Drosophila melanogaster: one gene and its partners. The gene in region 2 interacts genetically with the main gene of each other region. Each region holds a gene or a part of one and is shown on either strand. Other genes may lie near its edges.

The links.
Region 1: of enc (region 2) and Rbfox1, changing one enhances a phenotype caused by changing the other (phenotypic enhancement), as found in Drosophila melanogaster (one study listed by BioGRID).
Region 3: of enc (region 2) and Ubc2, changing one enhances a phenotype caused by changing the other (phenotypic enhancement), as found in Drosophila melanogaster (one study listed by BioGRID).

What each region holds. Positions count from the first base shown.
Region 1 is NT_037436.4:10,476,159-10,486,980, reverse strand, and holds the start of Rbfox1 (RNA-binding Fox protein 1), read right to left. Parts: upstream 5,570-10,822; 5' UTR 5,036-5,569; intron 1-5,035. Other genes in the region: CG46430 (uncharacterized protein), read right to left, coding at 7,595-7,626, 7,919-8,444.
Region 2 is NT_037436.4:3,814,276-3,820,278, reverse strand, and holds the start of enc (encore), read right to left. Parts: upstream 1,601-6,003; 5' UTR 1,362-1,600; coding exon of another isoform or gene 1,359-1,361; intron 1-1,358. Other genes in the region: Acp63F (accessory gland protein 63F), read left to right, coding at 3,934-3,961, 4,023-4,178, 4,233-4,294; Scsalpha1 (Succinyl-coenzyme A synthetase alpha subunit 1), read right to left, coding at 2,280-2,495, 2,558-2,842, 3,199-3,647, 5,924-5,960. UniProt on the Drosophila melanogaster protein: Required for the regulation of germline mitosis, karyosome formation, and establishment of dorsoventral (DS) polarity of the egg and embryo. Involved in proper grk mRNA localization and translation in the oocyte.
Region 3 is NT_033779.5:10,763,079-10,773,900, forward strand, and holds Ubc2 (ubiquitin conjugating enzyme 2), read right to left. Parts: upstream 4,862-10,822; 5' UTR 4,579-4,861; intron 4,009-4,578; exon of another isoform or gene 3,935-4,008; 5' UTR 3,914-3,934; coding exon 3,313-3,913; intron 3,198-3,312; coding exon 3,113-3,197; intron 3,053-3,112; coding exon 3,040-3,052; 3' UTR 1,932-3,039; downstream 1-1,931. Other genes in the region: CG6495 (uncharacterized protein), read left to right, coding at 1-13, 779-1,308, 1,365-1,730; CG6724 (uncharacterized protein), read right to left, coding at 5,209-5,498, 5,566-5,812, 5,870-6,536, 6,597-6,655; CG17127 (uncharacterized protein), read left to right, coding at 7,907-8,203; CG31869 (uncharacterized protein), read right to left, coding at 9,957-10,822. UniProt on the Drosophila melanogaster protein: Catalyzes the covalent attachment of ubiquitin to other proteins.

The DNA of each region.
Region 1 (10,822 bases), 6.7 Mb from region 2:
ATTGACTCAATTTATTTTTCAAAAATAATCCCCAATAAATCCTTATTAAAGTCCAAAAGTGTGTATTATGTAAAATGTAATCCAGATGAGGCAGTCTAAGTTTTTGACAGTGCAGCGGAAAAAGCGCTGACATTTATTAATGTTAACGCATCAACAACAATCGCTCCGCCCAATGGCGTGGGCGTGGCATAAGCTACACAAGTGGAATTAAATACGCATTTGCGTTGTCAGCTTCACAGTGAGCAAAAGTGACTTTGAAGAGCGCGTCATAAAAGTTTGTAAAAAGTCTCGGGTGGGTGGATAAAGAGATTTACCCAGGCCACTCTGAACATAATAAAAAATGTGAAGGTGCCGGATCGTATTATGAAAATGACATTAAAATGGCAAAAGGATCATCAGGAGTAAGATAATATAAAAAACGCTAGAGAGAGTCTCAAATCATTAAAGTGGATTCAAGAGGCAATCACAGCGATTTACCTACTGCTCTTAACTCTCACTGAAAGGGCGCAATTTCAACCAAATGGTAATTATTTCCGAGCTTAAAACTGCATAGAACTGAAACAATTTGCTGGTTAAGCAAAAGTAAATACTTTGGGTAGATATTTTTGTTCTTGGGGGTGGAAGGCATCTTAAGGGTGGTAATGGATAAAATCACGAGAACCATGTCATCTTTGAAATTTATCATATTTCTCTAATTTTGGTTTTAAACTTATACATCTTATAGTAGTTCGTAACCTCTGCTTAAGAGTTCTTTATATAACTCAGATAGTTTAATCTGTAAGTTAGTTTTACGTTTCTTTATTTTTTCACACAAAAAATTACAAAAGTTGAATTTTTCACACCGAACCAATGCCTAATCCCCTGCATGTTGATCCAGCGAACATAACTCATACGTACAATATTATTTGTGGTTTTTGCGCTGCATTTTCAACATTTGGCGCCATTGGCGATTTGACGCGCAAATACCTAAATCAAAAAAAAAAGGAAAAAAAAATTGAACAAAATTTATTTTTACTGTGTCCTGTGGCCACACAAGTTATGAAAACAAAAGGAAGTAAAGAAAATGCAGAAAAGCAGTCCAATAGCGCCCAAAAGTCTGCAACTGTTAAACTGTTATACGGCCAACTAAGGTCCAAGACAGCATCACCAAAAACTGTGCTACGAGCAAGGTCAAAGTGCGCATGATCGAAGAGAGCCAAAGAGATGTAAGATGAAAGGGCGGATGCAATGGGCAATGGCAGTGGCAAAAACAATTTAACTACATGCGAAGCAACAAGAACAACGAGCAAAAGGCCATGGGGTTTAGGCCAAAAAACGTAACAACGGCCTGACCTTCACCATCACCGCAGTTCTTTTTTTTCAGTAAAAATATCTTATACATGGTGTATGCCACTTTGAGGCGCTTGTGTGGGTGCGTTTGAGATCTGCTTTTGTTGGCTTAAATGTTTTCACGCTAAATGGAGCAGCAGCATAAGCAGCAGCAGCTACAGCGTCATTGTGGCGGCATTGATACGCGGAAGTGGAACCACACGGCGCATACTTAATGGGTGCGTATCTATGCACTCGACAAAATAAATCCAAAAAATATGTTATTCAATGGTTGGTAAAATTAAAAATTCGATAATTTAACAAATATAGCAATCGATCTATAGTGTATCATACCAATTAAACAGAATGTTTAAAAATCCTAACATTTTAAAATTATATTACAAATCGATAGCTTCATCTTATAAGGTTTTCTTTCTTTTGTTTTTCATAATACAATAAATTACTATTTTCTGGTTTTAGTTAACTAACTAACTACTTTTTTTTGTATCTACTATCTGCCCTAGTGAGCCTGTATCTCTGCTTGCATAATGATGCCAAGAGATCTAATGAGTTTGTTAACCCCAATTTCGAGCAAAATGAAAAGCAATTCATCTCTCGTGGAAATCGTATTCAACCCAATGATTGAAATTTTGCGGATTTTTCACATCGATTTGCCGATTTTCTCTGTGCAATTTGAATGCGACATTTACGATGTGCTGGTTAAAAAATATTTGTTGTCATTCGTTTCGGCATCGCTGGAAATATGCTGGGCATGATTGATGATATATCTGATTGAATGGGGCTTTCGACGAACTGCCTGATAGATAGATGGTTCAAAATGGAAGGACTAGCAGCAGGTGGCAGCTGCCAGGATGTAAGTATCCTTCGCTAAGCGGATTTCAACCAGGCCATCATCATCAGAAAAGGAGTTTATTTCTTTTCTGTTTTTGGCTTTTTTTTTTCCATGTGGTCTGCGTGTGCGGAAAGTTTACTGTTTTTCAGAAGGAAAGAACTTAAGTAGGATTTTTCCATTTCCACTTTTCGTATGCTAATGCAAGGGGGAAAGTGGAAAAGAGAAGCATTTAATCAAGTTTATGTGGAATAAATTATATTTATACGCTTTTCTTTGAAATAATGGTTACAGCGTTGCCATTAGGCTTATTAGAAAAGGGAAAAGAAGAAAAATGAGAGGAAAAACCACCCAAAGAAGTCAAAGCGATTAAGATGGATGATGCCCGAAAGTGGGGAGCATAATAAGACAAATTATTTGCAAGGATATGAAAAGGGGTTACAAAATGGAAGGAATAAAATACTTTTCATTTCAAATAATAATTAAATAAATCAATATTCAATAATATAAGTATATACTGCTTGGCAATTTCATTTAAAAAGGCTAGTTTCAAAATGAGTTGAGTAATAAAAAAAAGGAAAGCATTAGATCTCTGCATACTGCAATGCACATTTTTGTACATATAAACTGTGACAGAAATACCCACAAATTACATGCTCATAGAATCTCGGAAACATATCGTGCACATAAATTCCTACTCTATTTTATTGAAATTCTGTGAGGAACGTATGTGCAATCTCTTCTCATTTTTTTTCTGTTGAATAAGCATGAAAAATATCATGTTGCATATTGTCCGAAATATAGTTTAGAAGTCTTGTGCAAAAATGCGATGTCGCAAGTAAGCATAAAAAAAAATATCAGGCACAGCACCCATCTGCCACCCAAAAATGTGGATCTGCTCATGTAAATAACTGCAAATGGAGCTGTGGAAAAATATTGTAGTTGACAATAGAGTTTTTCATTGGTTGGCTAAACAAGTCAAGGTTCGGAGTTTTTTAAGTAATTGCTGCTTATACAAATTTACGGTGCAAGTTTTCCCTTTGTTAGACGAGATAAATGGGGGTGGCATATTTACGCCCCATGATTTATGGCGCTCATTTTTCGAGGACATTATAAAAAAATAAAAACTTTTTGGTGGGTCAAAGTGAAGAGAAGTCAAACAAAGATAAGCGAACCAAACTTTGATTTTGTGTGCCATTTGTTTATTGTTCTCAATTGTTGTTACATTTTGACTGCGACACAGGTGGTATATTTGATCGTTTTCATGTCCTTATATTTTCAAAAGGGCCATTTTGAGCTACTTTTGTAGCGTTGATAAATGAGAGCCATCTTCACATGTCACGAAAGTTTTAAGTTTTTTAAAACTTTTTAGTATTAAAATCCCCTATTTTTCTAAGCCCGATATATACAATAGGTATCCTTTTTTGCGAACCAACGTTGATATTTTCAAAGACATCCTTGTTGCATAAACAGGACCGTGGACCGTGAAGTATTTAGCATACAACCAAAATGTGGAGTCTCATTTTTCGCTCGCATATTTTCGCCCACAGCTTTTATCCTGCAGATGACGGAAGTCTCAAAGTGACAGACAATTTTAGCCTTAACAAGAATAACAGCAGCACGCTGAAGTGATGGAAACTCTAGCCACATGTGCGCAAATATTTTTTCCTGCTTCTGGCTTCTACCGTCAGTGCCTTCCAGCCTCAGTCAGCATAATAATGAATTACATACGGTGGAGATTCTTGTGCCGGGAATCCGGCAATCCTAGCCGTCATCAACATCGGGCAACAACTACCTATGGAAACAGTCTGAGCCACTCGCTTAGCTTCCTTGCCACGCTTTGTTGGCTGCAGCAATTTTACAATTGACTGTTTCTGCTGTTTCTAAATGGGGGAAACTCCCCGTTTTGCAGTGGAAACCCCCTTTGTTTAACGGGGAAACGGGATGGCGAAATGGGTGAGTTTGTAAAACGCTTGACTTGTTTTACGCATTATTTACTTAGTTGGGATGCTAGCTACCTCTTGCTCCACATGTACATGCACGTGTTTGTATAAGCTCACGCAGGAAAAACTGTTGTCACAACTTCGATTTTGTTATTTAAAGTAAAGTTTAAAGTTATTTAAAGTAAAGGCTCAAAGTCACTAAAAAGAAGTCTTAAATTAAGCAATAGAAAATATAAGCATACATTTTGGCTTAAAAACTATAACTATCGATGCAGAACCCATTTCTCTCAGTGTTGCTGTGCGTGTATACCCTTTTAGTTGTCTTTGTGCGTCCATTCCGTGGGGGATAGGGGCGTGGCAAATGAACTAGTATAAAAGTAAGTTTGCGGCAAGCAGCAAAACGTTTGGTTACAATTAATTTCGTACTCTGCGCTGGGTAATAAGGGGATATATGCACAGATACAGGGTATGTGAGTGCCATAAAAGGGGGGAGATTGTGATGCCCGGTGGGGGGGGGGGTGGCCCCTTAATGTGAGCAATTTGAAATGAAAATCGGCCCCGGAGTCCTGTTGCTGTAAAAGTATTTTTGCGGGCATTTCTACCATTATTTGCATCTCCAGCTGAAAATAAATGAAGGGTAAACGCAAATCGAAATTCCCTGCCAGACCATCAACAATGGAAGTCGGGCAAATAACAAATGGAAAAATTACACGAATATCAAATCAAAATTATCTTTACGTAGCGGGAGATGTTTTAATGCGGGACATAAAGCAAAAATGGGCAATAAAAATGTTTTAAATGCGTTTGGGAAATGGGCAAATTCTCAAGATATCTCAGCGGAAGACTAGTCCAATAAAAGCTGTTCAAATGGGTAACTTAATGTGCTAAATGGGATACATTTTTATTTCTGTGATATTTAATAGCTAAGGCTTACTTGATCGACGTGCTCTTGTGAATCGTGAAAAAAGAATCCGTTTGCTGTCCGAATTACTTGTGGTAAACACACGAAACAAACACACGTTTTTGTGTTTTCTTTTTTTTTTTGCTTTTGGCACTAGATGCTAAATGACAGGCGGCTTATGCAACATTTATTTGATATTGTATTAAATATTTAACGCACGACACGACAAAACACTTTTGCCTCATTAATCTAACGCACACAAGAGCAGCGGGCAGAATGAGGAAAAGCTGCTAATTGAAGCCGGCAGCACAACGAAATACACAGTGCACACACAAAAAGCACACACAATCACAAAGGGACACTAAGCCTTTAGTCGTTGATTGATACGGATAGCCCAAGGAATTTGAGGTTTTTCCCACTGCGGGTAATGGGACTTGGGGTGGTTTTGAAAAATTTGTGACGTTTTTCCTGTTAACACGAGAATTTTACGCGACTTGCCAATGCGCGAGGCGAAAGCGATGAGCAAAATGTTTTCCGTCCTCACGTGAGCACTTGCAATGGGAGACTGAAATTTTGCGCAAAAGAGCCTGTAAGTATGCAGCAGCCTTTGCCGTATAACACTACAGTCAGTATAACAGTTTGATGCTTACTTGAGGGATGAGAAAAATGTATATTTTTGGTGAAAGAGCTCTTTAATGCCACCTGATAAAAGGTAACATTAAATTTGGTTTAATGCACAACGACCTACGGCATCATCAGCATAAACTTGGCCAACTATTTAACCACAAAAAATAAGCAGAAAAACAGAATAAATCTTATAAACATATGTGTTCAAGGCAGAAAACCATTTCCGCCAAATTGCCCAAGCCTAGTCGCACAATTTATTTTTATTTGAACCCCGAGAAGTTTATGGTTTCTTCTTTCCCCCGCCAAAATGCTGATTATTATGATTATTTACTCAGCCTATTTGTGTGTGGGCGTTTGGTTACATAATTAGGCCATTAAGTATAAGTGCCCAAGTCTCTGATTTCCACATTTCCACGGCCCAGCATCACAAATCGATCAGGCTGGCAAACAAATTCCGTTCGACAAAGAGAGGCAATTTTAAATGGAAACAGAAGGCTATAAGGAAAACGTATTTTCAGCAGCAACTTTTCTTTGGCGGAAAACGTAATTGAATTTTTATTGACATTCTAGCGGAAGTGGAGGTGAGGACAGCTGTCACTTGAGCGACGAAGTTGCCTGGAAATAAAGCGCAACTATTTTGTAGAAAATGACCAGGACAGTAAAGTGGAAGGACGAAAATCGGGAACGAAGAACGAAAGCAAAACCAAAAATCTAAAGAAATCAAAAGAAAAATATAAATTTCGGAAAATTAATTCCGTTTTTTAAGGCCGCTTTAAAAGGGGATTGAGCAAGGGATTGCCAAGAATAACCTAATTAGGGTTGACTTAAGGCAACCGATGGAAAATTTTCCGCAGATTAAGCTCGAAGAAAAAGCCCAACGAAAATATTTAAAAATAACAATTTAAAATTCAGCAGGAGAGAAAGAGAAAATGGAAAAGGGTTGATTTACATGAAAATTGTATTGAGTACTTTTTAAGACTTTTTTTTTGTAGTCATTTTTGTAAATTTGTTTACTTATACTTTGTAGATATTATGGCTTTACAAATGGCATTCAAACATTGTAATCCATTCTTAATGGCAAATAGATAAGTTTATAATTACAGATATAATTGCTTTTCTATATGGCGATCCAGTCCAAGTCCGCTTACCAATTAAAGTTCGACGTAGCCATTTGTCATGACTATCTGCATCATAATATGCCACTATTATCATTTACAGCCACCCGTTTTTGTCCAATCGCTTTTCTCATTACCAGGAGACACCCTCGTCTCTGGCCGGTCATTAAATTATTTTATATGGCACATTAAAAGTGAGCATAAACACACAAACTCTCACTGGCCCTTACTTTCTCTACTATACGAGTGTGTGTGTGTGTGTAGAGTAAGTGAAATGCATTTGCAGTGGGGGGGTGTGGTCATAAGCCAAAGGCTTATGTGGAAAAGTAAGAGAAAGGGGAGCGGCGTCTGTCCGAGTGGCATTTCCATCTGCGGCAGGTTCTATTTGCTATTATTATCATAGTCGGAGTGCTTGGGCGGTTATTATTGTTACCACTGAGTCTGCTCGTCGGCTTCTAAGCAATTATTTAAAGCACCGCAAGGACGGGAGAAATGCAGGGACAACTCTCCCTTTCTCTGTCCGCGGGGAAATGAAGGCAATGTCCAGTGTTGGCTGCAGAGATTTCAATTTAAAAACGAGGCCAAACTGCTGGGCGAAAAGCCAAGGGGGGGGGGGGCTTCGCACACGTGTGACCATACTTTTTTATGCCAGCACAGCAGGTTCTTCAAGCACTGTTTTAAATTACATAAATAAATTCTATTTTTAAACTAGCTGTATGCTATATTTATGTACAATATTTAGGTAATAAACGGAGAAAATATTTTAGCATAAATTTATTTATAAGTTGTAACTTCAAAATACATACGAAAATAGTCACATTTTAAGGGGAAACCTATTCCAGTTTTCAAATTAATTGCTTTCTATTGCATCAACGGTCGGTTCTGTAAAAAATAAACATCTTTTTTAGCTCTTAAAAATTAATGCAATTTATAGTTAGTATAAAAAACTTGTTTTTTTTTTCGCTGTGTACCAATCACCTTTGCTGTACAGTTTCGTGTGAGGCTTGTTGATTGCGTGCTATTGTGGCGAGAGATGCTCACATATTTATTTACAATTTAAATTCAGTCAGTAACGCCGACCTTCTGAACAATTTTCGCACCTGTCACCCTTTTGTGCCTTCTTAATTGTCGCAATCAATTGGGCCAACAAGAGGTTAAAAGCTTAATTTATTACCTGTATTTCGTATGGATTTTGCCAGCAGGCAACGGATCTCTTTTAAAACCATTTTATAATCGGTTCTCAGTTCGATTTTTGAAACCGCATTTTCCGGTGCTGATTCAGAAATCTCTGGCTTTATGGCATCATCGTAATCGAAAAGTGTAGACTCCGTATCGTCCATAACATTATACCATTCCAGTTTTCTGCGTATGGCTTGCATTATTTGTCGTCTGTATTGGCAATCTTTACCGGATAAATCACTAGGTATTTCTAAAATGTCATCAATTTTTTTAAAAGGTGATTGTTTATATTCCTGTTCGTTAGAAATTTGATTTAAAATTTGTTGAAATTGATCCATCTTTATCATAATATCCAATAGAGTTGCATTTAAATTATAGTTTGCAACAAGACATTGAAAAACAATGGCAAAATTTGGCTCGTCTTTTGCAGTCATAGCCTCGCATTCTGAATAGGTTTGGTTATTCTTCTCACTGCCATAAGTAAAACTTATAAATTGCAACACGACAAGAACTAGCAACATCGTCTGTCAATGATGAAAATCAAACTGATATCAATACGAACTAGTCGAACTTGTGGCTCCATTTCTTGTTAATTGATTTTGTACAGTTAGGCATATTAAGTGTGTGTGTACGAGCTGAAACATTGTCGATGCTCTGCCAACTTTCAAAATAGAGCCATAAATTTTATGTGGCACTTGTGAGGTTGCAAACTTTCGGAAAACTTGCAGCTCATCCGGGTTTTCCCGCGTACTAGAGTTTTGCCAGCTTCACTTCCTTTGTGGCCTCATTTGCTGCCAGCGGCCACCATAAATAATCCATACAAATTAACGCAGCCGTGCACACTTAGCCGCACCTAAAAATAAGACTTAAATAAAATAAAACCCAAAAACCACTGAGCTCTCTTAACAAGAGCACTAAAATATACAACAGTTTAATCGACACCAACTCGCTGGGTGGTTTAAAAAAGAAAACGAACTGCTAAAATATATATATTTTTCGGTATAAAAAATAGCGCTTAAGCTTTTCGCATCCTCCAAACCATTTCAGGGTAAGCAAAATTTATTGTTAGCGGAAGTTGTCTTTAATGGCGAACGAGCAGCCACACCCACAAGCCCATTGAACCATGGATCCCCAACTTCAGGCAGTTTTTACCCCCCCAAACTCCCCCCAGCCATTTATTCAGTCCGCATTAAGTTGACCTTCAGAGCTGCAAATAATTTCAACTCATTGAGTTTAATGTCCTGCGCCGTATGGGCGTGGCACAGCCATTTATAAGGTCTCTGTGCCACTTAAATACAGTCCGTTTCGAAACTAAAGTTCTCAGAAAATGTGTTATTATAATAATAAATTATTGAATGGCAGATTATACTTCATTATATTTCACATACTTCAATGGAACTAAATTAATTCAATATGATAAATCCTTTCAATGAACTGTCTTTAAAAATATTTTTATCCAACCTTATAGTTGCGAACCACTCTGTATATTATGTTTATCTGGCCACGTGTTTTCGCCCAATAATCGCATGATTTATGGCTAACAATGGTCAGGGCAGTTCTTATCCTTCTTGGCTCATAAATATTTTGCCAGTCTGAATTTGTTTTCTACCTTTTTCGTTCATATTTTTGTTTCCAATTTTGCTGTCCCACAGCTTGAAAATTGTATTTTAATGTGGGAAATGGGACACACACTAAAATACACAATATTTGGCCATATTCAAGATGTTGGAAGGACGCTAATGCGTTTATAAAGTGTTAACATGGCGTATGCGTAATATTTAATGGCAGCTGTGCAGATGGCTGACTTTCTTATACCTCCTTTAGTTTATGCATATATTTTGATTTAAGCTTATGAAAAAGTGTGCTACGCCCTATTTTATGGCTTCGTGATGGGCTGTGCTTTTGGATTAGAAATGGGGTAAAACAATTTACGAGATTTCATGAGCGTTTTGTCCGTCTGCGAAAATGGTCGTAAATTTAATTGCCGCGATTATTGCTGCGAAATTAGCGCAGATCAGAGATAATCGCGAAGCTTAAGTTAACGACAGGAATTTACGACTTTGGCATTGCCGTGTCACATTAATTTCAACTACTAAAGCTGAAATCTAAAATAATAATAGTATTAAATTACTTAAAATACATTGAAATAACTTCTGTGTAATTTAAAACTTTAAAAACTTACGAAAACGACCATTCATTTCAATAAATTTCTGTTAATTTAAATAGACTTCCGTACATATATTTTAAAGTCCTTTGACAATGTTAAATTTACTTTTGGGCCTCAAAGCGAGGAAAATTCCCCAACGGCAAGGGCAATAATTTATGCTAATTCGCTTGACTGCCATGCAGACGCAAAAAAAAACCAAAATGACAATGACTTCCTGTGGCCGAGAGTTTTGCACACACACAAATAAGAGAGAGTATCAAGCCGGCAAAAATTAAATTGAGCCGCTTGTAATTTAGCCAATTGCACCAAAGTGACCGACTAATTGCCTGGGGACGAAGTACAGGAAATGTATTTGCATTTCGGTTAACGCACTAGAATATGCAATTCAAATGTGTGTCGCATAAAGAAGAGTGGCTTTCCATAGTAAGCCGACTCGTTAACATGATGAAGTTAAATAAAGCTCGTAGTCAGGCATAATTTATTTAAAACAAACAGACGGCTGGCGAAAAGTAAAAGTTGGACGAGGATAAACTGAGGAAGCAGACACATACATGCGATTTCTTTAACACAGTACAGGATATACATAAGTATAAGTAATGGGTTAAAAAGGTATTAAGAAGATATATATATATTAACACACTTTAATGCAATCTATTTTATGAAAAGGTTAATTCAGAATCCGCTCAAAAAATGTTACAAGGACCAAGGACATTGTGAAAAAAAAGATCTCAA
Region 2 (6,003 bases):
ATTGTATTATAAAGTACAGTGGACACTTGCATTGAAAGACCAATGAGTCCAGATATTCAAAACCCAAACTTTCCTAAACTCACACTTTTTGATAGAAGCTACAATCACTAATAAGATAAAATCTTCACTTTCACTCAAGAAAATTTGTGTGGATTTAACAAAAATAAGAACTATTTTTTGCGTGTTTCGGTGTTTGGGAGAGCGAATAAACAAAAAACTGACGACATTATTGCGACGCCAGCGATGTAAGAGAATTGGAGACAAATGTGAGAAAGGCCCAGGGAAGTGGAGGGAGGGGGGATATAGCCGGGCTGGTCGGATAATTCGCAAAATAGATTTTCAATAAAACCCACTCGAAAACGCCGACAATGGCGGACGCAGGCCAAAGAGCCATTTCGAATCTATTTTAAACACAAACAAAAGCATTCTCTATAAATCGAGCAAACGCGAAGAGGAAGAAAACTTACAAAAATGTTTGCAAGAATGCGATATGTCACCAGAAGTTGAGGGTTCCTAGCGAACTGGAACGCACATTTTTCGGCGTTTTGTAATCGATCTGCAGCAGCAGCAACAGTTTTCAAAACTATTTATCCTAAAGCTTATACACAAAAATCTACATAATATATAGATAGGACGCATCCTTAAGTGGTTTTTCATATCCGAAGTAATAATGACGTGCTGTTTGTAAAATATATTTTACATTTACATTACTTTTAACTCAACCTGATATTTCGGATCAACATTTTAAAAACTTAAAACTAAAGAATAATAAAGAATAATACTTCTAGCTATATTTCTCGTTTCATAATAATATTTTTTTAAAGTAGGATATTGAATATATATTATATTAAAAGTACGGAAGCATTGGCATAATATTAAATCGAAGAATTATGTGAGCAATTAAGCTACCAATCTGCTACCAACAATCCCATAATTTATTATTTTCAATGCAGCACTATGTATTGCGAGCGTCAAGGCCATGAACTCCTGGTATTAGCCATGCTACAACTTTTTTTCAATAAAGTTCCTCGGCGAACGAAAATTCCAACTAACAACTCCAATTAGACATACCCGGAATCAGATAACGGGGCCTTCCCGGCAGCCCTACTAAAAGGCATGCACTACTCCGTCACATACATACATACATGCGAGGTGATAAATTTGTATGTGCACATGTGTGTGTGTGCGTATGTAGTGCACTTTAAAATGCAACCGCAACCGGCGGCTGCAAAAACCGAAAATGTTGCAATAGTAATAATAAGCGCACTAATATTATTATGTTCACATCATTTCCAACACGCTTTGCGAGAAAAGGGACAGTGCTAACGAAATTTAGGGACATTTTCTTAGAAACTCACCATTTTCAGTTCTGCTGCCCATGGCGAGTCGTTGTTGTTGCTTTTCCTTTGGTTGCTCTCCCTTTTGATTATCTGCGATTTTCACACTTTTCCGGGGTGGCGAACAATATGCGAATCGGCACTATAGCTTCTGACGTTTTTCGCGGTGTTTTCCAAGTTTGTTTAGGCCTTTGTGGCACGCATTTTCAATCGCGGCCCTAAAACATATATATGTTTATTAGAGCTGGCACAAAAAGCGATGGCAGTTCGATATTAATGTTGCCAGATATTTCACGAGTTAATCGAAACTTCCGCTCTATCGATGTGTGCTCTTGATGTTTGCAAGTCGATCCCATTAAATATCGAAAGTAGAAAACTACATTTTTTTAAATTTCCTTAAATCTTTTTTTAATATGGTAAGCATTGCTTTTCATAAATTATTGTTTTGTTAATTCTTCTCCAAAGAATTTTAGTTTAGATTAAATAAATTGACCTGAAAATTCATATTTTCAAAGGATATGGCTTGTATAGCTAAAACCACGAAAATTCACCACATCTATCCTGTTTTTATGCATATTTATTACACATTCAGATACAATTCGCATTGATAATTCGAGCAGGCATTTAAAATTAAGGCAAAAATCTGTTCGCAACACAAACAATGAGCCGAGTGCAATAACAATTAGAAATCTTGGTTTTGGTGCGAGTTATTTTAGTTCAACTTGGTGGTACGGCAGTAGTTAACTTAATTCTTGGAATACATGTCACAATTCAACGCCTCTCGTTTCTCTCTAGTAATTTTTCACAATAATTTATTTGGGTTCGCTCGAATGCAATTTCGATTTTCGACACTTTTAGCTTAACGTTAGGTTCATCATCATGAGTTTGCGTATACGCTTTGATCGGCGTACGGATTCCGGTTTGGTTATGGCCTTTAATTATTTACACTAACTCCAGACGCTTCATCTCCTTGAAGAGCTCGTGGCCCATTTTGGCAGGACTCCTGGTCACAATGACGCCGGCCTTCTCCAGGGCGGCGATCTTGTCGTTGGCACCTCCCTTTCCTCCGGAAATGATGGCTCCAGCGTGACCCATGCGACGGCCGGGTGGCGCCGACACTCCGGCAATGAACGAGACGACAGGCTTGGCCTTGATGCCCTGCAATAGGATACAAAAACATTTAGCAATGAAATACATTGATCCGTGATGGCTTCTCATACCGAATTGTACTCGGTCAGGTAGTCGGCAGCCTTCTCCTCGGCAACGCCTCCGATCTCGCCGATCAGGATGATGCCCTTGGTCTCGGGATCCTTGAGGAAGACCTCCAGGCAGTCGATGAAGTCGGTTCCGTTGAACGGATCGCCTCCAATGCCCACGCACAGGGTCTGGCCCAGACCCACCTCCGTGGTCTGGTGCACGGCCTCGTAGGTCAAGGTTCCCGAGCGCGAGACCACGCCGATCTTGCCGCGCTTGTGAATGTGACCCGGCATGATGCCGATCTTGCACTGCAATCAGAAAAAACATAGTTTAAGATTATACAATTGACTTAACTGAAAGTGGAGTGAAGTGGGTAATCACTAAGTTTTGTGACGCATAGAAAGATAAGCGTTATAAATGGTAATAAAAAACGTATCGTCCGCAAATTCCACCAACTTCAGGTGCAAAGTTCAATGCCCAAATTTAAGGGTGTGTCAATGGAGGCCTGTTTATACATTAACAATAAGCAAATTGAAAACGGAATAGTAAACAGATATATGTAGTTCAAAGCGAGCGTCATACCAAGAGATAAGAAAACCACCAGATGAACGTGGACTTTGCCCTCTGGCCAAGCTTATCTCTCAAGCGCTGGAGATGTACGAACCTGTTCGGGGGCGATGATTCCCGGGCAGTTGGGACCCACCAATCGCGACTTGCTCTGGCTGATGAGGGCGTGCTTCACCTTCACCATGTCGTGCTGCGGCACACCCTCCGTAATGCAAACGATCAGGGGGATCTCCGCTTCCAGAGCCTCGATGATGGCGGCCGCAGCGCCCGGTGGTGGCACATAGATGACGGTGGCATGTGGATCGGTGGCCTTCTTGGCCTCCGCCACCGAAGCGAAGACGGGCAGTCCCAGATGCTGGGTGCCTCCCTTCTTGGGGGAAATGCCGCCGACCAACTTGGTGCCGTACTCCAGAGCCTGTTGGCTGTGGAACGTGCCCTGTTTGCCGGTGAATCCCTGGCAGATCACCCGCGAATCGCCGTTCAGCTTCAAGTTGCCGCGCGTCTTGTTGTACTGCGAATTGCAGCGCACTCCGGCCACGAAGCCATCTGAAAAATGTAAGAATGAATCATTTTAGGACTAAAGTTGGAAATTTAGTATTTTGGATATTAATAAACCAGCCTGCAAGTGTAAACTTACATAGTTACATGATAATTTCATTTGCGTAACGTTCGAGAAAGGTTTATTATTTATTAAATTCCTATATTTCTTGCCCATTTTCCAAGTACACATAATTGATTTTCTAGATCGAATGGAATATGTTCCAGAACTCATGCCATATATAGATCTATTTAAGTTGAGTATTTTCTTTAAGAATATCAGTCGCTTTGCAAGATGAAAGCTATCATCGTTTTTATTCTGTGTGAGTTTTTTTGGAGCTTATGTTGCTAACCGAAATTGTTTTACTTTTACATCCCCTTTAGTCATTTCAAGTGTGCATGCTATGAGCAAATGCAACCAAGCAATTTATCTAAATCTTGATCCTCACTGCGGAATACTTCCCGATTGTAACTTAGATGGTCCAAATCCAAGTTACCTCAAAAGGGTGTCGTGTGAACGCAAAGAAAACGGAAAACCAGGTGGGTAATTGTTGACACCTTTTGTGTTTCAGAAAACTTAATCGATTCGTTTAGGATTCATCGAACTAATTCCCGGAAAATGTCTCCATGGTAAACCGCGTTGCTCGTTAAAATAGTAATATTGTTCCAATATTTCCATGCATATATGTTTCAATTAAAGGCATTATAAATACCTATATTCTATAATTCTTCTGAGAAGCATTTTAAAGCATTAAATTATATGTAAACTACTCAATCTGCGTGCGATTATGAAAGCTTTGAGCTTCTTATTATTTCTGAGTGAGTTTCTACGCAAGAAACTGCGAGTAAATACATACGTTCTGAACTATTCAACCACTGCAGTTATGAATATATTCGAGACTGCGAATGGAAAGAGTGTCTGTGAAGGATTTATAAAAGCTGGAAGTCCATTCTGCGCGTTTGCCGCTACCTGTAACTTCCAAGGCTTGAGTCTTTTGCACGTTGGACAAGAGCAGTGCAAACTGACTGAACTGGGAAAGCCTCGTAGGTTCAATTCAATTATCGTATTCAGTTCGCCTAACCTTATTTACATGTCCAGTATTTCTGAAAATCAAGGCCGGAAGGTGTCCCCGGGGTAAACCCAGATGCAGGAAAACTAGATAAGGAAAATAACTTTTTTATATTATAAGGCATTTTATATCCTTGATCACTTTCAATAAAGATTTAACTCTTCATTTTTACCATTTTAAAAATCTATGTAATCTAAAGTTTAGAAACACCGCCTTTTGTGGCCTTGACATTTGTTAAGAAATTCCACACCTGTTGCTTTAATCGCCTTAAATACGACATGTTTCGGTAATTAGCAGCTAATCTTTGTAAAACCCTGCAACACTTGCGAAACATTCAATCTCAATCTCACCATGAAGATTTTCGGATATATCCTTATACTCAGTGAGTTACCTAAGATTTAATGGGAATATACCTATAAACATGGTATGGTTTCATCCCTGTGACAGTTGTAACAATGATAGAAGTCAATGGTGTCCTAACTGTTGAAGAATGCCAAAAGTTCTTGAACCCCCCAATTCAGCTACGGTGAAAGCAGATCCATGGTGCGGAATAACAGCGGATTGCCACTATACCTTCCTTACTGCCAGCTTCCTGAAGACCGAAGTCTGCTTTCGTAAAGTAAATGGTTTGCCAGGTAGGTCTGACCAGTTTGACTTTTAGAACGATACTAAGTTTATCCATGCTTTCAGAACTCAAAAAAGTAATTCATGCCAAATGCCCTAAGGGCAAATATTCATAAATATAGATCGGAGCTTGGAAAAAATATCCCAAACTAAATTAGAATTAAATAACTTTTTGACGAAGGCAAATGCTTGCAGCAATTATTTGTTTGAACTATTAAATTAAAAGTATACACGTATATCCACTACGAGAAAAGTTAAAAAGTGATGGTCACCAAAGCGGTGTTCCACTGTACTTGTTGCCGAAAAAAAACGGTTGTTTGTACGCTGGGTCACATGCAAGCGAACCTTGAACACAACCCCCGCACTCCCCCTCTTTAATCATTTCAAAGCCACGTATCTGCGGATTCGCAAATTGAGCCGCTTATTAATCCGAATGGAGGCCGACTAATCAGCAGATGCGTCGGAACGACAGGTGCTCCCTAATTGCTTGGATATTTGTTCTTTTGGTGCCGTAAATCCATTGAAGTTATATAATTTATTATGCTGTTAGGCTATCGGGCGTGTTAGGCAACCGATGTGGAGAATACGCACCTCGCACTTTCAGCAGCGCCCTCATTGAAGCAGCCATATTATCTGTGTGTGGTGGTTGTGCGATAAAAACAGCTTTACTC
Region 3 (10,822 bases), on a different chromosome or scaffold from region 2:
ATCATCAACACGGGTTAGTATAGATAAGGGGTCTAGGAAAATATAGTTAAGATTAGAAGTTAGTTGATAGGATGTATTAAAAGCATATGATGTGTCAAAGATTAGATTTAATGATTATTAACACAACAAAGTTTAGGAAATGAAACTTTTGCAGCTGTAGTATACGATGTAGTTCCCAATTGATGATATCTGTCTTATCTATAGAATCTTCAACGCTAACAAACTTATGATTGGCAATCATACAGGGCTTTTCTTCATTTTTTTTATATAATTTATTTTATTTTATGCCTCACAACCCAGTAAAGCTGCTGCAGCACTGCACTAAGTTGCATTAAGTTGTTAATTAAACTCGATTGAGTGTCCAGGAGCAATTAGTTCTAGCCAGGCACTCCAGCCCAACAAAAACTAAAAGCTGAGTAAATATTTATGAGGACAGGGAATGGGGAGTGATACCCGGAGGCTACGGCGCTCCAGTGCGACATTAGCACACAAATGGCCGGCACAGTGCACGCAATGATCCCACTGCCATGGCCACTTGGCCACGACACACTCGCTCCCTTGTTCCGGAGGGCTTTTCTGCTGGGAAAATCGCAAATAGCCCATCAGTTTTCATTGTGTGAAATGGGAGCTGCCGTCGCTCGAAATTGATTTACGAATGCTTGTGCCCTATGCGTGCAGTGCCTCTGTCTGCGCGTAATTAATTCAATTAGCTGTGCGTTAACCGGGATACACACACTTCATGCTTCCTAGTGACGCCTTCGCCTCCGCTTTCTTACAGACGCACAGAGCCACATATTTAGCCATAAAGGCGGCCTCCAGCTGCAGCAGCCCGCAAACGGACAGGGTCCACCGCCGTCGCCACTCCAGGTTCCGGGTCAGATGGCGGGAGCAGGTCAGGTTCAGGTTCAGGGGCAATCCCCAACGCTGCAACTGCCCGGCTACGAGGCCAACCAGGCTGTATACGGGATGTCACGCACAGGAATCTACATGCCACAGCAGCCGGCGCAACTCCAGGCTCCAGCTGGCCAACAGCAGCAGCAGGTGCAAGCGAGTGTGGTGTGGCCACAGCAGGCTCCATTAATTCCGCAGCAACAGTCGCCCGTGCAGCAGTCGCAGTCCCTGATGCCCCAGCAATCTGGTCATGTCTATGCCGCCGCTGCTCCGGCCATCCAATCTCCGCCAGCTGCGCAGCAAGCCATGTTGCCAGTCCTAAATGCAGCACCCGTAGCTGGGAAAAATCAGGGTCCAGCGGCAGATGGGGACTACGATGATTACGATGAGGAAACGTACACGGAGGCACCAAAAAAGGTAAGATCTGATGAATGAATATAGATTAAGATTAACCATTCATTTTAAAACCACAGAAGCAGCACAAACACAAGAAGGTCAAGACGAAGACGGCCAAGGATCCCATTGAACTTGCCCTGGAGCAAAACAAGTTGCAACCGGAGGGATCCCTTCCAGCCCTGCCGGTTCCCGCTTCCCCCGTCCACGAGCAGTACAAGATGATCCATGACAACCTGGCGATGGAGTTCCGCGATCACGACGGTCACTCGGAGCGACCTGGCGGGGCGGTCCTCTCGCTGACTCTGGGCCTGCTGGTCACCGCTGCGCTGGCCATTCTTATCGGGTGCAGGATGCGGACGGTGACGCGGAGGGCACGACGACTGGGCGGCAAGACGCCCTACTCACAGGAGGCGGACTTCCTGGTCAACGGCATGTATCTGTAAGCCGGTTGCCTGCGGATTAGGTCGGGGGCTAGCCAAGATTCGTTGTGTTGTTCCACGTGCGGGGAAGCGTGAGGATATATATATTTACGATTAATTGTGTAATGAAAAACGTATTTTATATAAACAAAGATATATCAAATAAAACTAAAACTTAAACATAGCGATCGCCTTACCTGTGGACCGATTAATGAGTCGAAAAGTAATTTTATAATATTTTTTATTTAAGTTCCTTTCCATTTGCGATTTCAGTTTTGTTTTGGTTACGAAAAAAACTTACAATTACTTTGTTACGAAATCTTGTTCTCAGTTTTTTTTTCAATGAAGTGACGACGATGACTGGTTTAGTCATTAAAACTACAAAATAGTAGGAAGTTGGTTTTTATTTATATTCTTTTTTTCTTTTCTTTTCCTTTATATATCAGCACTATACTCGTAATTGCCTTTCTTTAAAATAACAAATTTCGCTGTGGTGGAGCCTTTTTAATGTTCAAGTCTAAAATCATTATTAGTGAAAGGTAGTATTTGACCAAAAAAACAAATTTCGAACGCTTAAAAATATCACATTAAAAAATCAAACCGAATCCGATTTCATATATAAATAACACAAATTTATTTAATTTTGTTTTGGAATTTGGAATAGGTTGTCTTAAGTTTTGTATACATAGATTTATTTCGTTTTTCGTTTACCACTTCATTTTTAGTCTTTTGTTGTTGAGAATTTTCCTTGCTGTGGCCAGTTTTTTTTTTTTTTTTTGAATGAAAATCATCTTTTACGAAGTTTACTGCCCTGACATTGGTTGCATTAATATTACGCATTACGCATTAAAATAGGCTTTTCTCTTTACTCGTTTAGCTCCATTTTCACTTAACACTGTACACATATAATGTAAACTAATTGTATTTATATTTATTATGCAGTTGAATAGTTTATAGTTTAATATGTCAATGTGCAATTCATGATGCAGTTTTTCATCGAATGTGACTCGTTACAATGTTTTCGGTTGCTAAGCGAATTAAAAACAAAACTAGTTTCCGAAAAATACAACTCAAGAAATCTCCAAATGTTTTTTTTTTTTTACAACTTCTGTATTAACGTGATATAAATATAGACTGAATTTAGATTGGATTGGATCGACTGGCTGTTGGCGGTTGCTTTTCGTGTTACGGTAGTTGTTACTGTTAATTTAGTAGTTATCGTACTTTAATATATATTTATAAAATAGACTTTCTCCGTTGCAAGATGCGAATTTTCGTTTCTGTTGTTGCAGTTTTCGGTTTGTGGTACATGCACGTTGCCAAAACTTACGCATCATGTTGCGTACCTAAAAGACAAGCACACAGATTACTAAGTTTGTTTACTCGCTTTTCCAGCGACAACTCACCTTTTTGTCCAGAGACGCGCAATTCGATCGTGCTCCTCACGATTCTGCAAATATTGCGTGGCAATGCTGCCCACCAGCGGATCGGCTGTAAAGACACATGATATAAACATGAGATCATATTTACTACAGTCCTAGGAAAAGTTAAATCAAAGTGGAGAACACGACACTGTATATCAAAGTCTAAAAAAAATAAGTCTCACCTGGATTACAGTCTGTGAGCAGGGAGCAAATTGACAGCAAGACCTTTGATATGGTCAGCGCCGGCGACCAGTTGTCCTTGAGTATGTCCAGGCAAATGACGCCCTGGCTGTTGATGTTGCAGTGATAGATGCGCGTGCGGAACGTGACTTTGGGTGGCTTGAAGGGATACTCCGGCGAGAAGTGTATGTCGAGGAAGAAGACGCCGCCCTCGTAGACGGATCCGGGTGGTCCCAGTATGGTGGATACCCACTCGTACAGGTTGTCGCCCTTGGGCCCGGCACTGCAGTTGGGCGGTGGGTCCAGTGTGATCTCAGCCAGCTCCTTCTGTATGCGCTTGGCCGAGGTGCCCAGCGCCCTGGATATCCTGGGCGTTGTTTTGGCTTCCTTTCGCGGCTCATCTCCGCCACCGGCATTGCTCCCGGAGGCACCACCGTTGGCGTTGCTGCCCCTGCCGCCACGTGCCTGCGGAGTTCCGGCAGTCGTCGGCTGGCTGGTATTGCTCACGTTGCTGGCCGTTGTGCTGGGTGCACTGGGCGCATTTGAGGTGGCACTGGAGGTGGCCACCTCGGCGGCACTGCCCGCTGCTGGGGTTGAAGACATTTTTGGTCTCGTTTCTTCGAACTGAAATGAGTATTTTGATGTTTGGTTAGATAATGGTTTATGTAAACGATCCACTATGTTCAGCAGGGAATTTCCATAGAAAACTGGTGAAATATGAAGCCAAAGCCTACTTGGGATTCACATTTATTTTTAAAGGGAAATCCCTTCTTGCCTGCACTTTGTGCGTACGAATGTAGTTGATGTGAAAAGTATGGCCAGTGGAGTCGGCAATTATACGCGAATCTTGGACGGGGCTTCCCCAGGGTCCTTGACCTGGTTTTCCACCCAGTTTGTGCCCCTTTATGATGACAGGGGTTTGCTTTTTTTCGCACAAACGCACGCATTTCTATTGAGCAGCGGCCATTTTGGCAAACCCCCGACAGTAAAAAGTGGGTTTTGCATGGGATTCGTTGTCAGGCCAGTGGATGCTGGACAGGATTAGGTGATAGCTGGACAAGCATTTGCCCCCAAAGTTTCGAGAGCATGTGCTGGATGCCGCAAAAAATCAATCAGCAGACATTTGCAAAATGCCGCCGCCGACGGCGGAGGATGATGATGACGGTGCTGACTCCGCCGCCTGCAGCTCGATTGCACAATTTCGCGGAATTTGGACGCTGATTAGGTGGGGTCTATCTTGGGACCAGCCCGTGAAGCACTATACACACCTCACTATTGCAGTTTCTTTCACTTTTTTCTATCACAACACTTGCGAAAATGATTCTCCCTGTGTCGCCTGCTGCCCTCTCGCTCGCACTCTCGCGCACACGGCCTTCGCAGTGGATGCACGGCTGTTCCGCTGGCGTCCTTGGTGGGTGGCAGTGTCGGCGCTCCAAACTCCTCGGCGGCTCACGGTCGCGATCGTTGTTATTTCGCTAAATTACAGTTGGCAAATTACGAGGCGACGCAGAGCCGACTTTATCTTTGTTAGAAACTCGATAATTTGTATGTTTGTAGCCAGCTATCGGTCCGGGTCCGTCTCTAGGTGCTCGCGCTGTCCGCTCATCCTTAGCGAACTATCGATGTTCGGCTTCTGGCAACCGTTTTTTGCCTTTTCTAGCACTGTGGCAACTCGGAAGCGGATACCATAAAAATAATATTCAAGTATTGAAATCTAACTATTTCGTAAATGAAATAAAAAACAAGAATATTTACACCATGTATAATACACTTTGAATACCTCTCTGCTTCACCCACTTCGATAATTTAAGTGTAACACCCCAGATGTAAAATCTTTCAATATTTACTTTAAAGTTTAAACTAGTTTTGTATTTATAAAAAGTTTACAAGTTTTGGGATTACTTCGTCTCCGCTTCTTCCGCTAGCGCCTTGCGAGATTTGAATACGCGCACCGTGTTGTCGACACCACCAGATACAATGTACTTGGGATTGGACCAGTCGATGTCCAGGACCTTTTCACCGTGACCCAGAAGATCGTACAGTGGGGCCTTGGGACTCCTGCAGTCCCACAGCTTGTTCTGGTTGTCATAAGCGCCGGAGACAAATAGGAACTCCTCCGTGGTGGACCACATGACGGTCTGCACCCAGGCATTGTGTCCCAGATAGGTATTCCTTACCACTGATCCCTCTGAAAGATCCGAATTATATTGGTTAGGTGGAAGTTCCATTGTTGATATTGGAGTATTAGATCTTACGGTTTGTCCTAGGATCATAGAGCCGCAGATTCTTGTCCGCCGAAGCAGTCAGTATCAGCCGATTCAGCTTTGAGTAGCTCGCATCGAATATGGACTTGTTGGTGGATATTTCGGTCTTGATGCCCTCAAGACTCAGATCCCACACCTTGAGTGTGTGATCCCAGCTGCCAGTTAGCAGAGTGGTAGCATCCATCCACTGCACGGCTGATACGCTCTCACGATGTCCCTGCAGCGTAATTTTGGGGGTCTGAAAGGAATTGTAAAGCTGATTACAAGTCTAATTATAAATGGCAAGACTACTCACTCTCACACCGCTCTCTTTCATCCGCTTTGAGCTGCCCTCGACTGCATCGTCCAGCTCTGCTGACCACACCTTCAACATCGTGTCCCAAGAGCCCGTGGCAAATCTCAGACCATCCGGACTCACGCTGACACTGTCGACGCCTCGCTCGTGGCCCTTGCACACGGAGACACATTCCACCGAGTTGGAGCCCACGTTCCACTGCCACAGCATGGCGGTCTGATCCTGCGATGTGGACACAAAACGTCCCGTCTCCTCGTCCAGCGATATCCAGTCCACCGCCTTGATGGGCGCCGTGTGACCAGAAATAGTGAGAATGTGCTTGCCTTTGTTGGTCCACAAATTCAGGGTGTTGTCGTAGCACCCGGAGAGGATCCACTTTCCTCTAGCCTTCACCGCGGACACCCAGTCGTCGTGCAGCAGGCAATCCTGTGGCTCTGGCGCCGGGAACCGCTCCACATACTCGATCTCGATGGCGTCCTCGAAACTGATGGCTTTCTCGCGCAGGTGATCGCACAGCCGGCCACGCAGGTACTCATCGAACACCAGGAAGTCGAAGTCCGTGTCGGAAGAGCCATCTTTTTGACGCAACAGTGCGTTCACGAATGTGTTTAGCTCCACGGTGGTGACGGTGCCATCGATGGCATAGGGCACATCAGGCACGGCATAGCTGAAATAGGGTATCTTGATTAAAATCTTCTACTGATAGAGATTCTAGATGGACACTCACTGCTCCTGCTTGGTCTTCAGGTGCACCTGCACCTGCCCCTCGCCGTTATCCACATCCATCTCCTGGCCCACGTGCGTTTCTTTTTGGCTGGATTGGGATTGGGGTGTTCCCGCGTGTGTTTGCTACGGTTATGACTTAACTCCTGCAGGTGGTACAAGGTGTTGACCACTAAACTAGAGGTTCTTCCTTCGGGAGATCGTTGTGTAAAATTAAATTGAAAAGAAGCGTGTTTTTAAACGAACGATGGTAAATGCAACAAATACATGCAAAAACACTAAAAAACGCCGAAGCGCATGCCGGAATAAGAGTTATCGCATTGCTATCGCTGTGCTCTTATCGAAATGCCTTATCGTCTTGTTATCACCCGTTACTACTAAGCGGAGTTTTTAAATTCAAATTTTTTGGTGCGTTAAAACTATGCATAATTATAATAGCTTGCTTAAGTGTAATTTGCCGATTACTTTAACAAATAAAAAGATATTAATAGAGTGTATGGTATTTCTAATCACTTTGATTTTGTTTCTCTAAAATATTACTCATCAAATTCGAAAAACCGCTGATTGCATAACCACTGCTTTGTCGTTTCTCCTTTTTTTTATTACAAAAAAATCTTACAGAGATACGAGCCAATTCGCAATACTGATAATTAAATATTTTTTGCAAGCAAATCAGGCGCAGATGATTTGCTGTAATTTAGCCACTAACTGCTTCTCTTCCTTTTGATCGTCTTACGCAAAATGGAAAAATAAGAAACCAAAAAATGCACAGCCGCGGCGGCAATTTGTAAATGACTCTTCAATCTTCAAAGACTGGTAATTGTTAATATTTTACGTTCAGGCTATTAATATGAACCAGATAGCACCTGAAAGACCACTTTGCGGCCGAGTGTTCACTGGAAGGTTAAATGCCACTTGACATTTCTGAAGTGGCGCTTAACCTTCGCATCAAAATTGGACAAATGCCCAAGAAAATAAAAAATTTCCAATAAAAAATGTATTCACCTTAATGGGTCGATGGGGATATTAAGCTGGGAAGTAATAACACTTTTTTTCGGTACTACTACTTTGTGCCACCATTTTGGCTTTACAAAAAACCAGAAACGAAGCGAAATGAAAGAGTTAAAGCTTTCCAGATTTTCGGGGCTTCCAGCGGCGCAGCTCAGCTTATAAAACGGGCATTGCGCCTGCGCAGCCGAAACATTACAACAAACGACGCGCGCAAGGTAAGACCATAACCAAATCCAGTCCGCATCGAGCGCCACTGAATCCGTGCATCTCTTGCAGTTGAATCCCCTCGAGAAAACCCACAAAATGAAAGTGTTCGCGCTGTGTTCGATGCTCGCCCTGCTCCTGGCTGGTGCCCAATCCCTGCCCCAGAATCGCGAGGGTGCCGCCTACACGAACGAGGCGATCCGGCAGGCGCAGCAGACGCTTCTCATCCCCAAGGATGCCCAGATCCAGAACGTGCAGGAGGGCATCGAGCTGGGCGCGTACGAGCAGATACCCGGCAACCAGCGCATCAATCTCTTCGAGATCCTCGGCGACCAGGTGCCCTCCGAGGTGATAAACAACCTGCAGTCCCAGGTCGACCAGATCGGTCGCAACTAAGTCGTAGGACCACTTCCTTGGTTAGCTCATTGCATTTCGTCCTCATTGTTAAGTTTCTCACTAATAAAACGAAAACATTACAAGTATTTAATCGCAGCGTTTATTTACCACCCAAAACAATTGGAAAAAAAAATCCGAAAAAAATATTAAAAGCGAAAGTGATCCTCCCCGAAAACCAGTTGGTTCCTCTGCAAACGAACTCTCGAATCGAAACGAGTGATTTATTGGTTTGATTTGTGGCTTTTTCCTAACGATCTTCGCCGACTTTCTCCTCGCTGATCCCGCTGCGCATACGAATTAACAATAAAAGTCGGCACATTGCTATCGCATGGCATGGTATCCTATCCTCAACCTTGTTACGTAACCCGGGGATGGGAATGGCGATGGAGTCGCTGGTAACCCGAGTGGTTGCCCCGCCGGCAACTTTTGTGCTGCGGTCGTGATGCAACAGTTGTCGTCGTGATTGTTTTCCTCGGACTTTTATTTATTTTTTTTTGTATTTTGTATTTTGTTGCTTTTTGCTGGGCTTCGGTTTGTTTATTTAATTTCTGGTAATTGCCGCCACATGCACTTGCATGTGTAATGAGTTGTACGTGGAGGGGGCGTGGCATGCCCGCAGGTACAGAGGGGCTGCTTGCATAACATCTGGGTGGGTCCGATGATCGTAGGGTATTTTATAGGGCCCTGATTTTTGCATCATTTGTGGTAATAAATATTCCCAAATATGATATGAACCACTTAAAACTTTTATCTTGTGTGTTTAGAATTACCTCATTTTTATTTCGTACTTCATACATTGTTAAATGAGCTTCAATCTAAATTTACGCTAGTTAAAGTATTTTCATAATATATTTTAATTATCTCAAAAATTCTGTGTGGTATGTGTGTGAGTGATAGTGTGCACGATCATCGCCTAAATAAATTATGTTCATATAGGTAATTAATTATTTATTATACTCGTACGTACTAACTAAAGAATGACTGCGTTTTCATTTTGACACTTTTCTCCGCTCGTCAGCTTTGAAATTCACTCGAGCTTTTGATTTTCCTTTCTAGGAAAATCCAACGATAATTATCAAGACTCAATGTCAAAGTAAAATTAGTTTAAATTGTATATAAATTATGGTTAAAGTAGGAGTAAATTGCTTTAAATTAAAACTTTGCCATATTCAGTCTAAACTTAAAAGCTTTTCAATTCAAAGAGGACTACACAGTTGGCCATTGCATTAAACCATTTCTCAAAATCATTTGCATTCGTTATGAAATAAATTACAAATTAAATAAAATCATGATGGGATAAAACAAGTTAAATAATTTCTCCTTCGTTTATGTTGCGACTTATTCGATGATTTTCAAATGTGGGGGACAATGGTTGATTTTGTTTTCAGTGCACTTAGCTCAGTACGTATAAATTAGAAGTATAACTAAGCAATATGGATTGCCAGATAATGGAAACATTTCGTTATTGCATTTGGGGAGCCCAGCTTTGCTAATCTGCTAATCATACATTAGTTAGTTAATGATTACGTTCGTAAAGTTGATAAATTCAAAGGTCGTTCTATGCAGTCTATGGAAATGATAATGGAATCTTCTTCCCCTTTCTTCTGGCTACTTAAACCTAACAATCTGCCGCCATTCTGCTCACTTGAATGGTTGGATATTCGCTGCTTTGCAGGCCACTAGGCCCCATGGTGTCCGTATGTACAATAAAAGGGTTAAATATGTCAAGTAGAGCCACTCCAGGCGGCGATCCTCAGTAGATGCGCTGGAGGTATAGACGCCCCAATGGCAGGGCCCGCTCCACAAAGCTCTTCTCGGCCCTCGCCGACGATTTGTCCAGTCCACTGGCACTGGTCCTGGCCACCGTTTCCTGGCTCTCGTCCAGCTTCAGGCTCTTGGCATCGGCCTTGGGATCCACACCGCCCACCTGGCCCGCTCCCGAGCCCAGTTCATCGATCTCCAGCGTGGATACGGCATTGGTTTTGGGGGTGACGGGCTCCCTGATTTCCCCACTGCCAAGCTCAACCTCCTCACCCTGGCTGATCTTCTCCAGCTGCAGATCGCTGCCGTTCTGGATGCGCGTCTCCCCGGATATATCCTCGCCACTGTACATCAGCAGTGGCACCAGGGAGCTCTTCTCGTGAATGGATGAGCCGGACGCCATCATTTCCTCGGTGGTAGAAGACTTATCCTGGTAGAGATCGATGTCGCCACCACCACTTCCGCTGCCACTGCCATCCAGGCTGGTATCGGTCGCCAGTTTCACATGCCTGTGGTCCACCTCAAAGGGGCTGGGTATGCTCCGAGGCTCATCCTTCTCGGACTCGGCTATGTCCTCCAGCTCGACGAGCGGAAAGTTTACGTCTCGCAGACTGAAGTCGTCCTCGGGCAGCGAGGGATAGGCTGGATTGGATTCCACTTGAGGTACATCATCATCCACGTCCATGTGATGAGTGGAGCTCACTGGCGGCATCTCACTGCTTACTGCGACGGAATCGGAGCTACTCTCGACGTCTGACTTGGTGGTGTTTGGGCTGATCACGGTTTGGATGGTGGGTGAGGTCTCGCTGGGCTTTGGTGGTGCATCCGTGGTCACTTTGATAACGGTTCCAGGTCCCT